Callithrix jacchus: one gene and its partner. The protein of the gene in region 1 purifies or fractionates together with the protein of each later gene. This does not show direct contact. Links are inferred from orthologs where the notes say so. Each region holds a gene or a part of one and is shown on either strand. Other genes may lie near its edges.

Region 1 (7,155 bases):
CTAAGTTTTGTATTTTAATAGAGACGGGGTTTCACTGTATTGGCCAGATTTTGATCTCTTGACCTCATGATCCACCCATGTTGGGCTCCCAAAGTGCTGGGATTACAGGCGTGAGCCACTACGCCCAGTCTATGCTTCTCGTTTAGTACAAATTATTCAGTGGGTAGTGGAAGAGAACAAAATAATCGTATGTAAAATAAATCATGTCTAAATTTGCAGACATTTATTAAAAATAATGGTTCAACTAAATATCAAAATAATTCTAGTGTCCAGTCATATAAGCAAAAACTAATTCATTAGAAATAAATTTCTATCAGCTGGGAGTAGTGGCTCATGCCTGTAATTTCAGCACTTTGGGAGGCCGAGGTGGGTGGATCACGAGGTCAGAAGTTTGAGACCAGCCTGACCAACATGGCGAAACCACATCTCTACTAAAAAATATATACAAAAATTAGCCAGGTGTGGTGGTGCATGCCTGTAATCCCAGCTACTTGGGAGACTGAGGCAGGAGAATTGCTTGAACCTGGGAGGTAGAGATTGCAGTGAGCTGAGATCACACCATTGCACTCCACCCTGGTCAACAAGAGCGAAACTCTGTCTCAAAACAAACAGAAAAAAATTAATTTCTATCAAAAAAATCCCTTAAGTTATGTAAAGATGGCTTTCTAAATGAATCAGATTATGATTACAAGGGGTCTATTCAAATAAACCTGGCAAAAGACTTAAATTGATACTCTGAGTTTGGATATGATCATTCATGCCTGTAATCTCAACACTTTGGGAGGCTGAAAGCAGGAGAATTGCTTGAGCCCAGGAGTTTGAGACCCATTCTAGGCAACATAATGGGACCCCATCTCTATAAAACAAAAATTGTATTTTAAAATAGTGAGATGTGTTAGCACATACATATAGCCTTAAGTACTCGGGAGACCGAGATAGGAGGATCGCTTGAGCCCAGGAGGTGAAGGCTGCCGTGAGCCCTGATTACACTGCTGTACTTCAGCTTGGGTGACAGTGAGACACTGTCTCAAAAAAAAAAAGTTTGATGCTCTAGGCTCATCTGGAATGCCCCGTTATCTTAGCTTCCAAGTCTATAGAGTATTCCTGATACAGCATTTTTGCTTTCTGATTCGAACTTCTAAGTACCAGGGCAGTGGGAGATTACAACCCACAATCCAAACTGAAGATCATATATTAGTCTTTAATTTTTTTTTTTTTTTTGAGATGGAGTTTCACTCTTCTTACCCAGGCTGGAGTGCAATGGCGCGATCTTGGCTCACCACAACCTCTGCCTCCTGGGTTCAGGCAATTCTACCTCAGCCTCCTGAGTAGCTGGGATTACAGACACGTGCCACCATGCCCAGCTAATTCTTTGTATTTTTAGTAGAGACGGGGTTTCACCATGTTGACCAGGATGGTCTCAATCTCTTGACCTTGTGATCCACCCGCCTCGGCCTCCCAAAGTGCCACCGTGCCCGGCCCTAGTCTTTAATTTTAAATGAAACCCAAGGTCGACAACAAATCAGAAAACAAGAATTATGCTGAATCCTCAGATTCTGTTTGTGATAGTGGTATGATCATTTGCATTAGGTGTTACTGGATTCTCTCATTTCTCATTGCGCAACTTGGCATGTTCTGTTCACTTAGCTGGTGGAGCTGTCTAAGGCTCAAGATATAGAAGCAGGAGATGGTACCACATCAGTAGTCATCATTGCTGGCTCTCTCTTAGATTCTTGTACCAAGCTTCTTCAGAAAGGTGGGTAGAATGTGCTTTATTACTGAATAAAGAAAAGTTTAAAAGAACAAACTTTAGGAAAAGCCAGGTTATAAGTAAGTAATATGGGATTTAAGATTTGATTTAGAATAGCTAATCTTTTTACCAAGAATTTTTAAAGTTTTAGATTTTGCTATATTTGTGATAGTAATTAGAAGAAAATTTCCTTTGGCTTCTGATATTTGCTGGGCTCCTTTTTGAATGGAAATCAATTTTGCCATTCAAAAATGACTGGTATTAATATTACCAATCTTAGACTCTTAGGAAAGATGATTTGGGAGAGAAAGTCAGGATTGTCCTTGCTTTAGTAGATAGTGTTTAATCATAGTAGTGACTTTCCAGTCACTTACTCTACGTATTATGTAGACTTGTGATATTTTGAAAAGTATCAGCTAGGTGTGATGACTCATACTTGTAGTCCCAGCACTTCGGGAGGCTGAGGCTGGCAGATAAGTTTAGCCCAAGGAGTTTGAGAGCAAACTAGGCAACATGGCAAAACCCTGTCTCTACTAAAAAGAAAAAAATTGCCAGGTGTGATGGTATGTAACTGTAGTCCCAGCTACTCAGTAGGAGGATTGCTTGAGCCTGGGAGGTGGACGCTGTAGTGAGCAGAGATCAGGCCACTGCACTCCAGCCTGGGTGACAGAGTGAGACCCCATCTTAGAAAGAAAGAAAGGTATAAAATTTGGATTTTTAAGTATGTGATTGATCTATTTTAAATTACATGGAAATAAATTATTAGCCATAGTTAGCAGGTAATTCAAACCACTATTTTTACAACTGAAGCATACTTTTGTATATAATAGCATACCTTTGTATAATATAGATTTTGTATTTGTGCTTGCTTTGACATTAGTAAAAGAAAAATTTTAAGTTTTGTCAAATCTGTAGTTTACCTGTTATAATTAGATAACTAGGCTTTCACAAATAACAGGGATTCATCCAACCATCATTTCCGAGTCATTCCAGAAGGCCCTGGAAAAGGGAATTGAAATCTTGACTGACATGTCTCGACCTGTGGAACTGAGTGACAGAGAAACTTTGTTAAATAGTGCAACCACTTCATTGAACTCAAAGGTAAGACAAGCACTAATGGATAGTTGTCAAATTAAAGTGTGTTTTCTGTGATCCTTGATGCTATACAATACATAAAAACAGTCTCAAGAAGCAGTAACGGATAGTGGTTAAATTAAAGCATGTTATTCTATGCTCCTTGATGCTATATAATACGTAAAAACTAAGTCTCAAGATTGACTGGATAACTTAAAATCTGTATAACTGAATTGGTTTAAGTAAGATTATGAGAAGAAATGAGCCATGAGGCTAACAAAGGAGCTAGAATATTTAATGTATACTGTATCCATATCCAATCATTGTAACAGTGTTTTCATAAAGCTGGATATTTTAATTTGCCTGTTAGAAACCTTTTCATCTACCAAATCAGAAAGTCTGCCGTAGGATCACTAGTAGTATAGCTAATTTTTTTTTTTCTCAAAATCCTTTTTTTTTTGGAGACGGAGTTTGGCTCTTGTCACCCAGGCTGGAGTGCAATGGCGCGATCTCGGCTCACTGCAACCTCCACCTACTGGGTTCAGGCAATTCTCCTGCCTCAGCCTCCCGAGTAGCTGGGATTACAGGCACACACCACCATGTCCAGCTAAAAATTTTTATTGAATACTTAATATGGTGGGCATTGTGATAAGTTTTTTTTTTTGAGATGGAGTTTCGCTCTTGTTAACCAGGCTGGAGTGCAATGGCGCGATCTCGGCTCACCGCAACCTCTGCCTCCTGGGTTCAGGCAGTTCTGCCTCAGCCTCCTGAGTAGCTGGGATTACAGGCACGCATTACCGTGCCCAGCTAATTTTTTGTAATTTTAGTAGAGACCGGGTTTCACCATGTTGACCAGGATGGTCTCCATCTCTTGACCTCGTGATCCACCCGCCTCGGCCTCCCAAAGTGCTGGGATTACAGGCGTGAGCCACCGCGCCCTGCCCGAGTTTTTTACGTTTATTTATCCTCTTCAAGGCCTTCAGGTAGTCACATCCCCATTTTATAGAATAAAAGAGTAGATCTAGAGAAGTAAGTTATCTGAGGACCAGTAACAGAAAGAGCTGAGATTTGAACCCAGGACAGGCTGCCCATCGTGGTCCGTCCCTTAACTAATACATATGCTGCTTTTCTTAGTTATCAAACTTAAAGCGGTGTTGTACTTTTAAATTTCTTTGGAATTCATGTCACCTGTTTTCTGTAATGTTCTGTGTTTATCCCTCCCTCCCCCTAATCATTTTTCCTTTAAAAAAAAAAAAAAAAAAAGGGAGTATTGGGCCGGGTGCAGTGGCTCACGCCTGTAATCCCAACACTTTAGGAGGCCAAGGAGGGCAGATCATGAGGTCAAGAGATCAAGACCATCCTGGCCAACATGGTGAAACCCCATTTCTACTAAAAATATAAAAATAAACCGGGCGTGGTGGCGGACACCCGTAGTCCCAGCTACTCAGGAGGCTGAGGCAGGAGAATTGCTTGAACCCAGGAGGCAGAGGTTGCAGTGAGCCCAGGTCACGCCACTGCACTCCAGCCTGTCAGCAGAGCGAGACTCCGTCTCAAAAAGAAAGCAGTATTAAGTCCATAGATTCATTTTGTTTGAATGTTAGATAGTGTTAGGGACGCTAAGTGATACTGTTGGATGTTCCCATAACTAATACAGTTAGTATACCATAATGATTACAAACACTAGTCATTGAGTCTCTAGACTGCTTGTGTTTTTTCAGTGCTGACTTCACCACTTAACAAAGCTGTTAGTTTGGGCAAATGACTTAACCTCTTGGTTTCAGTTTTTCAGAGAAGATTGAGTTAATATGTAAAGTTCGAAGGCCACTGCCTGGCATATATTAAATGATTGATAAATGTTAGCAATTTTTATGAGCCCCTCATCAGGAATGTACATATCTAACATTAATGTCTCATCACACATTAATTTTAGATAGGAAATATTCACATTATGCTTTTTGAATTTCCAATAAGACTTTGATATTCTACAGTCTGAGCTACTATATTAATGAAAGAAAAAAGCAAACATACATGTTTTTATTTTGTACCCCTGGTGACAACATAAATGGAAAAGACAGTTTATGGGCTGTCTTCTCATGTGTGTTTACCTCTTCCCAACCAAACCCCATTGTAGAAATTATTAGAGCACTTCTTAAGTATCTTTGTCATAGAAAAATTAAGACTTATTTCTACTGTGAAGGTAACCTTTTTTTTTTTAAATAATTCTAGGTTGTTTCTCAGTATTCAAGTCTGCTTTCTCCAATGAGTGTAAATGCAGTGATGAAAGTGATTGACCCAGGAACAGCCACCAGTGTAGATCTTAGAGATATTAAAATAGTTAAGAAGCTTGGGTAAGCATATCTAATTATAACTTGAATAAAAGGTTGAAAATGAGCATAAATAAGGTAAAAACACCTAGATGAGTCACAAAGCTCTCTTTTCTCTGGTTTTGTTTTCATGAGAACTTGTATTAGTATGGAAATCTCAAGGTTTTGTTTATATTATGATAGTAAGTAGTGGATCAAAGAGATCCAGGAATGGGGCAATAACAGATTTTGTTAGCACATTTTATTGAACTGATGACTTTTAATCTGTTAACAAAATGTACAGATGTCCACTCCCTCTTAACTACTACCCCTCCTTGTTTTCTCTTTTTCTCAGTGGGACAATTGATGACTGTGAGTTGGTGGAAGGGCTGGTTCTCACCCAAAAAGTGTCAAATTCCGGCATAACCAGAGTTGAAAAGGCCAAGATTGGACTTATTCAGTTTTGCTTATCTGCTCCCAAAACAGATGTAAGTAGAAATGAAATTGATTCCCTTTGTGTTTAACCTTTTAATAATTCAGGCATTTGTTTTTTAAAAACAGAGAATACTGCTAGTGATTTAAAGCATAGATCTCAAAAGAATTATTAGAATTGAGACAAAAACAGAAGTTGTTGGTGCTACAAGTGACAAGTCTATATCCTCAGTTTGGATATTGAAATTGAAAGCTAGCCGATTGTAGTCCTAGCTGCTTGGGAGGTTCAAGCAGAAAAATTGCTTGAACCTAGGAGTTTGAGACTGCAGTGTGCTCTTCCATCACTTGTGAATAGCCCCTGCACTCTAGCCTGGGCAACATAGTGGGACCCCATCTTTTCATTGTCATCATTGTTGATCTACAAATTCACACAGATTAAAAAGGGACCCCATCTTTTAAAAACAATGAAAATAGGATAATCATTTTACATTTTTTGGTTATAAAAAAGTACTTGCAAAAAAGTAAGATAGCAATGTATTTAGTTGAAAGTAAAAGACTCAAGTTTGGGGCATATATCTTTCCAGACTCTTCTATGCATGTCTGTATAATTTATTGCTTGGTATAATTTTGGTTGAATTTCTACAGTACATAGTATTTTCACTTAAAAGTCATCTATGTTTGAACTTAAAATATCTTACAATGCAAATTATAATGTTCTTTTTCTGAACAGATGGATAATCAAATAGTGGTTTCTGACTATGCCCAGATGGACCGAGTGCTTCGAGAAGAGAGAGCCTATATTTTAAATTTAGTGAAGCAAATTAAAAAAACAGGATGTAATGTCCTTCTTATACAGAAGTCTATTCTAAGGTATGGGGCTATTTATTTTATTCATCTCTTAATGATAAATGATTTTGGATCTCCACTAGCAGGATTTTTTCTAATAAAATATTTGATTTAGTCTAAATTTTTATTTCTTAAGGGACAACTCTTAGGTGAAACGAAATGGGAGAATTTTTATTTTAAAAGCACAGAGATAAAGTGTTAGGCTTAAATATTGTACCATCATTTGCTTAGACCAAGGGAAAAAATGGTATAAGTAAAAGTTCAGAGGCATGTGGGAAAAGCATTTTCCTTTTTTTTTTTAAAGACAGAATTTTGCTCTTGTTACCCAGGCTGGAGTGCAATGGCGCAACCTCGGCTCACCACAACCTCCGCCTACTGGGTTCAGGCAATTCTCCTGCCCCAGCCTCCTGAGTAGATGGGATTACAGGCACGTGCCACTATGCCCAGCTAATTTTTTGTACTTTTAGTAGAGACAGGGTTTCACCATGTTGACCAGGATGGTCTCAATCTCTTGACCTCGTGATCCACCCGCCTCGGCCTCCCAAAGTGCTAGGATTACAGGCGTGAGCCATCGTGCCCAGTGGAAAAGCACTTTCAACAATTATATGACTTGTAAATGTGAAACAATATAGATGTAATTTTCTTAGCTAAGTAAATGCCGGAAAGTTGTGTTTTGGTTTTTTTAAAAACTTGTTTCTTAATTAGATTATTGGCTTCAGGTTGGAGCCCTTAAGGAACAGGGCCAAGAAA
Region 2 (7,255 bases), on another chromosome or scaffold:
TGAGCCAGTGCCCAGAGTGCTGTCTGTGATGAGGGCTAGGCTCAGCTCCGCCAGACCCAGGGGACACTGACCCAGGAATTACAGTGGAAAATATTTTCGCTCTGGAGGAGCTGCGGGCTGGAAGACTCACCAGGTTCCGGGAGGCCCAAGTGGGCACTGGGTGGTCAGGGGTGCCCTGGGAAGGAGAGCCAGGTGGGGAGGGTGCCCAGCAGACTTGGACTGTCAGGCTGACCTGAGATCCTTGAGTTGGGGTAAAGAGAAACCTGCTAGACATGTTGTATTTACTTATTTATTGTTGAGATGAAGTCTGGCTTTGCGCCAGGCTGGAGTACAGTGGCGCAATCTCCGCTGACTGCGACCCCGACTCCTGGGTTCAATTGATTCTCCTGCCTCAGCCTTCTGAGTAGCTGGGACTACAGGTGCCCACCACCACACCCAGCTAATTATTTTGTATTTTTAGTAAAGATGGGTTTCACCATGTTGGCCAGGATGGTCTCGATCTCTTGACCTCATGATCTGCCTGCCTCGGCCTCCCAAAGTGCTGGGATTATAGGCATGGACCACTGGGACCCGCCAAAATGTTATATTTATTAAAAAAATTGTTTAGAGAAGGCCAGGAGTTCTCCTGAGATCAGGAGTTCGAGGCCACCTTGGCCAACATGGTGAAACCCCATCTCTACTGAAAGTACAAAAATTAGGCGTGGGGGCAAGTGCCTGTAATCCCAGCTACTTGGGAGGCTAAGGAAGGAGAATTGCTTGAACATGGGAGGTGGAGGTTGCAGCGAGCCAAGATAGTGTCATTGCACTGCATCTGGGTGACAAGAGGGAGAGACTCCGACTCAAAAAAAAAAAAAAATTGTTCAGAGAAGCAGTTCTATTTTCAAATTCACTCCTGGTGGCTAAAGCCTGGTTAATATTTGGAAAAAGAAATCTTCGTGCTTTTTCCCCTCTTCTGTGATTCTTGTTTTCCCTTCTATTTTCACTTGTAATATTTTTTCCTGAGCCCGACAACAGTTTGGGTAGGATATAAAAGGATTTAAAACTTAGTAAAGCAAATTTCTTGCCTTTGTTAAATTGCTCTTCCTTGCTGGCGTTATATGGTTTCAGAATTTTGTTTTATTTTATTTTATTTTATTTTTTGAGATGGAGTCTTGCTCTTGTTGCCCAAGCTGGAGTTCAGTGGCCTGATACCGACTCACCCAACCTCCGCCTCCCAGGTTCAAGCGATTCTCCTGCCTCAGCCTCCTAAGTAGCTGAGATTACAGGCATGCACCACCATAACCGGCTAATTTTGTATTTTTAGTAGAGACAGGGTTTCTCCATGTTGGTCAGGCTGGTCTCGAACTCCCGTCCTCAGGTGATCTGCCCACTTTGGCCTCCCAAAGTGCTGGGATTACAGGCGTGAGCTATCCTGCCTGGCCGGGTTCAGAATTTTAGCTATGACTGCAGGGTGGATTGCAAAAACGCTGAACAGGGTTAGAGGAGTTTCTCATTTTTACTAGAAGGCTCTATCTCCTGAGGGTGGGGTGGCTGGGAACCTGGTTTGAGTTCTGAGGCTTCTGTGAGCCAGTCCCTTATTTTGCTCTGCCCGGAGGGCTGAAGGACTGGAAATACTTTTGCTTTGGGGCTGGAACCAGGGCTGCAGTTTGGGAGGCGGTGCTAATTTGGAAGAGGAGGCGGGGTCTGGTAAACACTTTAGCAGCATTGGGCAGTGGGAATTAGGGAATTTAGGGCAGGGGGAAGCTGGTTCTGAGTTTTAAACTGGGGAGTTGACGGATGAGAGCTGGAATTTTAGGAGTTTCTCTGTCTGGAGGTTTGGAAAAGAGCCAGGTGGGAGCTAGGGTGGGGAGGGGTGGGGAGAAGTAGATGGATCTGAGATCTGAAGCAGTGTGGGGGAGAACAGCAGGTGATGGGCGGGGATTCTGGCCCAGGCAGCCAGGTGGACGGAATGGAGATGGCCTTCATCCGAGCTTGGTTTGCTAACCTGTGACAGTCACTGTTCCATGCTCCAGGGCACCTGGCCCAAGGGACCAGGCCTTTTGGGCACACAGATCCACACGCAGCCCTGCCGGACCACACAGGAACCTTCCCTTCTGTGTCCTTCCTGGGAAGGGGATTCCAGACCATCTGCCAGTCTTTCGGTTCAGCCTTTCTGACAAGCGCACACCTCACTCTCCCCGGACATTTTTATTTCAAATGCTCTGTCCCTTTGTTTGCACGGGTTCCTGTGTCATATTCTGTGTTCCCATTTTAAATTGGAGAATAAGTGACTGCATGTTATTCTTCCCACAGGCCTAGTTGAGCGGGTAGGGAGGCCGTACCTACCTCCAAGGCTCTAAGAAGTGAAGCAGGAGGCGAGAATGCACAGTAGTCAGGGCTAGACGACCGGGCCTCACCTTCTAGGCCCCGGGGTCCTCCTCTGGGGACCACCCCCTTGTACCCGTAGGTGAAAATACCCGCCCAGGAGGAAAGGGTTGGCCCCAGAGAGCCCTGTGCAAAGTGAGTTTGCGCACTGCGGAGCGGGCGCGGGTGTCTCCAACGCGGCTCTCCCAGTCCGCGGGGCTGGGGAGGAGCAGGTGCGCGCACCGCTGGCTCTGTGCCAGCAGAGGCGGGAAGAGCAGCCGGCCCCGCGGGGAGGCGCAGCCCGGGCTTCCGAGCTCAGTGAACGCGCAGGCTCTGGGGCTTCTAAATGGGCCGGAGTCGTCCTGCCCGCCCAGGGTAGGCGGCCACATGGGGGGCACTGCGCCCGGGCGCGGCCCCAAGTGCTTTCCAAACGCCCACTGCCGCTGTCATCCGTACCGGCGATGATCCAGAAGGGGCCTGGTCGCCCGGGGAGGTGCCCCGGTCCGCCTCGATTCCGGGGACAACGCCAGGCGACGCCACCTGCGCGGGTCCCGGAGGGCCTCTGGTCCCAGTGTGCAGGGCGTACTCAGTCTTGGAAACGCGAGAGCACACTAGCACTTTCCTGTATGTATTATTATACTTCCATTTTTAGGAAGTGCATTAGAAGGGCCTGCGGCAGCTGAATTCGGGATTAAAGCTTTAAAGCGGGAAGCGTGCTCCCGGCGCGGTTCCTTTAAAGCGTTGGGCCTGCCCGAGGCATTCTGGCCGCAGCCGCGGCCCGTAGCGCTTCTCCGAGAGGCGGGCTTTGTGCGCTCGCCCCGCCTTTGGACAACGCCCCCTCCCCTCGCGCACGCGCACTGCGCCCCCGCCGCCTGGCGCCCGCCGGAGCTGCCGCCTTGTCGCGCAGAGTCCGCGCTCCCGCCCAGGAGGCGGCCGACGCGACGTCCCGAGCGCCCGGCCCCGCCGCCGCGGCCCGACAGGTAAGTGGGCAGCCGCCCGGCCCGGGGGGCACGAGGCGGGGAGTGGGACGGCGCCAGAAGCCCTCACATCGTCCCCGGCCGCCGCACGTGTTCCTTGCCGGGCCTCCGGCCAGGCCCAGCCCCCGGCGCTACCCCCACTGCGGCGGCCCCGCCCGGGACCCCCTCACGGGCTCCTCGGTGGACGGCCGCGCGCGCAGGCCCCTGCACCCCGCCCGCCCCCACCGGCGCTCCCACCTCCGATTCCCTGGCGGGCCGCTGACAAGGCCCGAGCGCCGGTACTGGGGCCTCTCCCTCGGCGGCGCGCCCGGCCTCACATCGCTCCTCTTCCTCCATCTCCAGGGAAGGACCAGACCCACGAGCCAGTCAGTCCCCGGACGTGGCGCTTCCCTTCGTAGAAACGCCCCAGCCCGCTCCCGCCGCTCACTCCAACCGGAGGCAGCCAGGCTGCACCTCGCTAGGTGGGGTCCTGGGGTTCGGGTCCTCGCTCCTGAACGGAGGGTCCCCCGCTCCTCCTCGCGCGGGGCCGCAGACCAGTCCTGGCCGGTCTGCGAGAGCCATCTTGAGCGGTTACGTTCCCGGACTAGACGGAGGTTGGGCTGTTACTTCCCGCTAACGACCCTCCCTGCTGTCTCGCAGGCAAGTTTCCAGCTACCCAGGTCTGTTTTCCTATCTCCCAAATGCTTACGCTGTGACCTGGGCAGGTGCGGTGCTAGCCGGTGGGGAAGACAGATGGGTAAGCGAAGGACCCAGGCCGGGAGCCCGTCCAGGACCTGAGATGCGCAGCGCCGGGTTCCCACCGCTGTCGGGCCGGCCACCTGGCTGCTGTTTGGGATGCACATTCATTCCGGTCTGCACGCAGCATGCTCTCTTGGACAGCATGCCGCAGGCCGATTCCTGGGCTCCACCTTGGGGACTGAGGGACTCCGGAATCCGCCAGTGGCATCCAGCCCAGGAGAGCATACTGAGCTTTAGTTGCTGGGCTTCAGGTGGTCAGGCTTACCTGGATGAAAAGCAGCAGCTGCTAGGAGGAGCCAGGCCGCACCTGGGCGGGGGCGGTCAACTCCTCATCACCGTGCATGGAACCTTCTTGGCCCCCACTTTTTCAGCATCAAGTCGCCAACCTTCCTGTTCCCTTAAAGTGATTCTTCACAGAAACTCCTGGGTGTTTATGAAAATGCCAAGCTTTGGGCTGGGTGTGGTGGCTCACACCTGTAATCCAGCACTTGGGGAGGCTGAGGCAGGCAGATTGCTGAGCTCAGGACTTCGAGATCAGCCTGGGCAACATGGCAAAACCCGTCTTTACTAAAAATGCAAAAAATTAGCCGGGTATGGTGGTGCTCGCCTGTAATCCCAGCTTCTCTGGAGGCTGAGCATGAAAATCGCTTGAACTCCGGAGGCGGAGGTTGTAATGAGCCAAGATCTTGCCACTGCACTCCAGCCTCGACCCAAAAAAAAAAAAAAAAAAGAAAATTTCAAGCCTAGACCCCACCACTGAGGTAGAAATTGGTGGGTGTGTAGTGTCAAGAAACTCTATTCTTAAAAGGCATGTTAAAGTTAAGGGTTTTTTTTGTTTCTTTGTTTCTTTTACTTGTTAATGTTTTTAGAGCCCAAAGGGTGGGGTGGGTGGGCCTGAGCTGGGAGGGGTTGAGCTCCTTTTGTAAGACCGCCAGTCTGCTGCGCCTTGCCTGAGGGTGTTTCAGGCATCTGGACTCACCTAGGTGAGTAGACAGCTGACTGGAGCTGCTCGGCCCTCTGAGCTGCCGGTTCTGCCTTCTGTTCCTCTGGTGTTTCACTTGGGTAGGGAACGGCCACACTTCACTCAGCTCTTGCCCTGACTTGGCTGTCTCCGGCTAGGACCTTTGCAGTGGACTTTGCAGCTTTTTGCTTGGATTTCCGTAGCTCCTCCCTCTCCTTGTACTTGTCCAGCGTGCCAGGGAGAAGGCAGCAGTTGGGTTAAATTGCCATGGCCAGGTTGCACTTATGACAAGCACCATGTAGCCGGCATTTACCGAGGACTGGCTTTGTACTGGCACTTTGTACTCTGGGCAGCTCTACAGGGCCTGCCCCTCCCCTTCCCCACTCGTGTGTGTGTGTGTGTGTGTGTGTGTGTGTGTGTGTATGTGTGTGTGTGAGAGTGTGTGATGCTCAGGCTTTAGATGCATCGTGATCCATCCTTTCGAAGGGAATCTTTGCTGCAGGCGAAATGGATCTGTGGCCACACCTGTTTTCTGGAAAGTGGGTGTTGTAGTTTCTCTGCCTTCCTCTTGCATCAAGACTTTGAGACTCTTTTTGATGCCTTCCGTTTCACCTTAATGTTACAAGCAGCCTTGCAAGATTTCGGTTTCAAGCTGCAAACTAGAACGTACAGTGTGTAAACTCGTTAGATGGATGGTGGTGCTAGCTTCCAGAATTCTGATGGCCAGTGGTATTTGCAAGCATGTCTCAGTGGCTTGCTTTTTTAGTGATGCTGTGCCTCCTTTCAGAATAACCTGTTGTGCTTTTATGAGACGTATTCAAGTAATGGATCTATTCTCGAGATGGAGGAAACTAGCTGCTTACTAGAGAGATTTTGGGTAAATTTTATTGTCAAGCTGAAACAGTCTTTTTTCATTCCCTTGCATGTTGGTCTTGCTCGTAGAATATCCCTGGTGTACTTGAGGCTGCTTTTCCAGAAGGCAGGTTGTGGGAATTCCAGCAGGCAGAGCTGGCTCTGGCTCGCTCTGCTCTCTTTGCTGAGTTTTGTAGCTCCTCACTGGGGGCGAGGCCTGTGAGCTGTTAGCATTCTGGAAGGCAGCTTGGTGCCTGCAGCCTGTGCATGGAGGCACCGGAGCCCACCCTTGAGGCGCAGACCGCTGGGTGCCTTCAAGCTTGGCTGTGAATGTGATTGCATCAGTGGGTGCATTTTAGGATTTGGCTGTGCTCCCAAACTTCTGCACCCTGAAGCCATCTTCTGTCATTTGGCATGTTAGCTTACTGTCAGGAAACCTTTTGCTGTTCTTTTTATAATATGTACAGGGCTTTATTTTATTTTTTTTTTTTGAGACAGTTCACTCTTATTGCCCAGGCTGGAGTGCAATGGCGCGATCTCAGCCCACCGCACCTCCACCTCCCGGTTCAAGTAATTCTCCTATCTCAGCCTCCTGGGATTACAGGCACGTGCCACCACATCTGGCTAATTTTTTTTTTTTGTATTTTTACTAGAGTCGGGGTTTCACCTTATTGGCCAGGCTGGTCTCAAGCTCCTGACCTTGTGATTCTCCTGCCTCAGCCTCCCAAAGTGCTGGGATTATAGGCATGAACCATCACGCCCAGCCGTGTCCAGGGCTCTTTGAAGAAAATTGCATTTTGTTTGCACAAACTGCTGCATTCCTACAGACTTCTGGACAACAAAATAGGAAGCACCCTTAAGGGTGGGGTCTTTGATGATTACAAAAGTGACGAGAGCAGGTGTCTCAGCAGAGCAGCTAGAAAGTATTAGCAAGGACTTTGGGTAATTAATAGGGTTCTCAATTTGGAATGGTTTGTTTGCTACAGGGCTCAATTGGTAGTCAAATGTTTTCCTTTAAATCCTTTTTCCTGAAAATCCATTTTTAAAAATATGGTTTGTTTCTTGGCCTTGGCCCCCTGTTCTGCATCTTGCTCGGCAGACTGCCTCTGTCACTGGGACTCTCCATCCACATCCCCTGTGTGACCAGCGTCAGAGCCATGGCAACGGAGGAGAAGAAGCCTGAGACTGAGGCCGCCAGAGCACAGCCGACCCCTTCGTCTTCTGCCACTCAGAGCAAGGTGCATGCCCAGGAGCCATGTGGGTGTTTTGGGGGGCAAATAACGCTTAGAGATTCTTGGAAACCTTTCACGCTCCTAAGTCTAGCCTTCCCTACTCAGTTAAAGGTCACTGCTAGTTTCTATTTCCTGACCACATACCTGACAAA

What was found.
Region 2: the proteins of CCT4 (region 1) and WDR5 purify together in Homo sapiens (affinity purification with mass spectrometry; 3 studies listed by BioGRID and IntAct, with this or other methods). This does not show direct contact. The link is inferred for Callithrix jacchus from reciprocal best matches to the Homo sapiens genes CCT4 and WDR5.

The regions. Positions count from the first base shown.
Region 1 is NC_133515.1:52,246,868-52,254,022, forward strand, and holds part of CCT4 (T-complex protein 1 subunit delta), read left to right. Parts: intron 1-1,647; coding exon 1,648-1,756; intron 1,757-2,708; coding exon 2,709-2,851; intron 2,852-5,050; coding exon 5,051-5,172; intron 5,173-5,482; coding exon 5,483-5,615; intron 5,616-6,289; coding exon 6,290-6,429; intron 6,430-7,155. UniProt on the Homo sapiens protein: Component of the chaperonin-containing T-complex (TRiC), a molecular chaperone complex that assists the folding of actin, tubulin and other proteins upon ATP hydrolysis.
Region 2 is NC_133502.1:182,700,755-182,708,009, forward strand, and holds the start of WDR5 (WD repeat-containing protein 5), read left to right. Parts: upstream 1-3,197; 5' UTR 3,198-3,323; intron 3,324-3,662; 5' UTR 3,663-3,781; exon of another isoform or gene 3,782-3,979; intron 3,980-6,970; 5' UTR 6,971-7,028; coding exon 7,029-7,109; intron 7,110-7,255.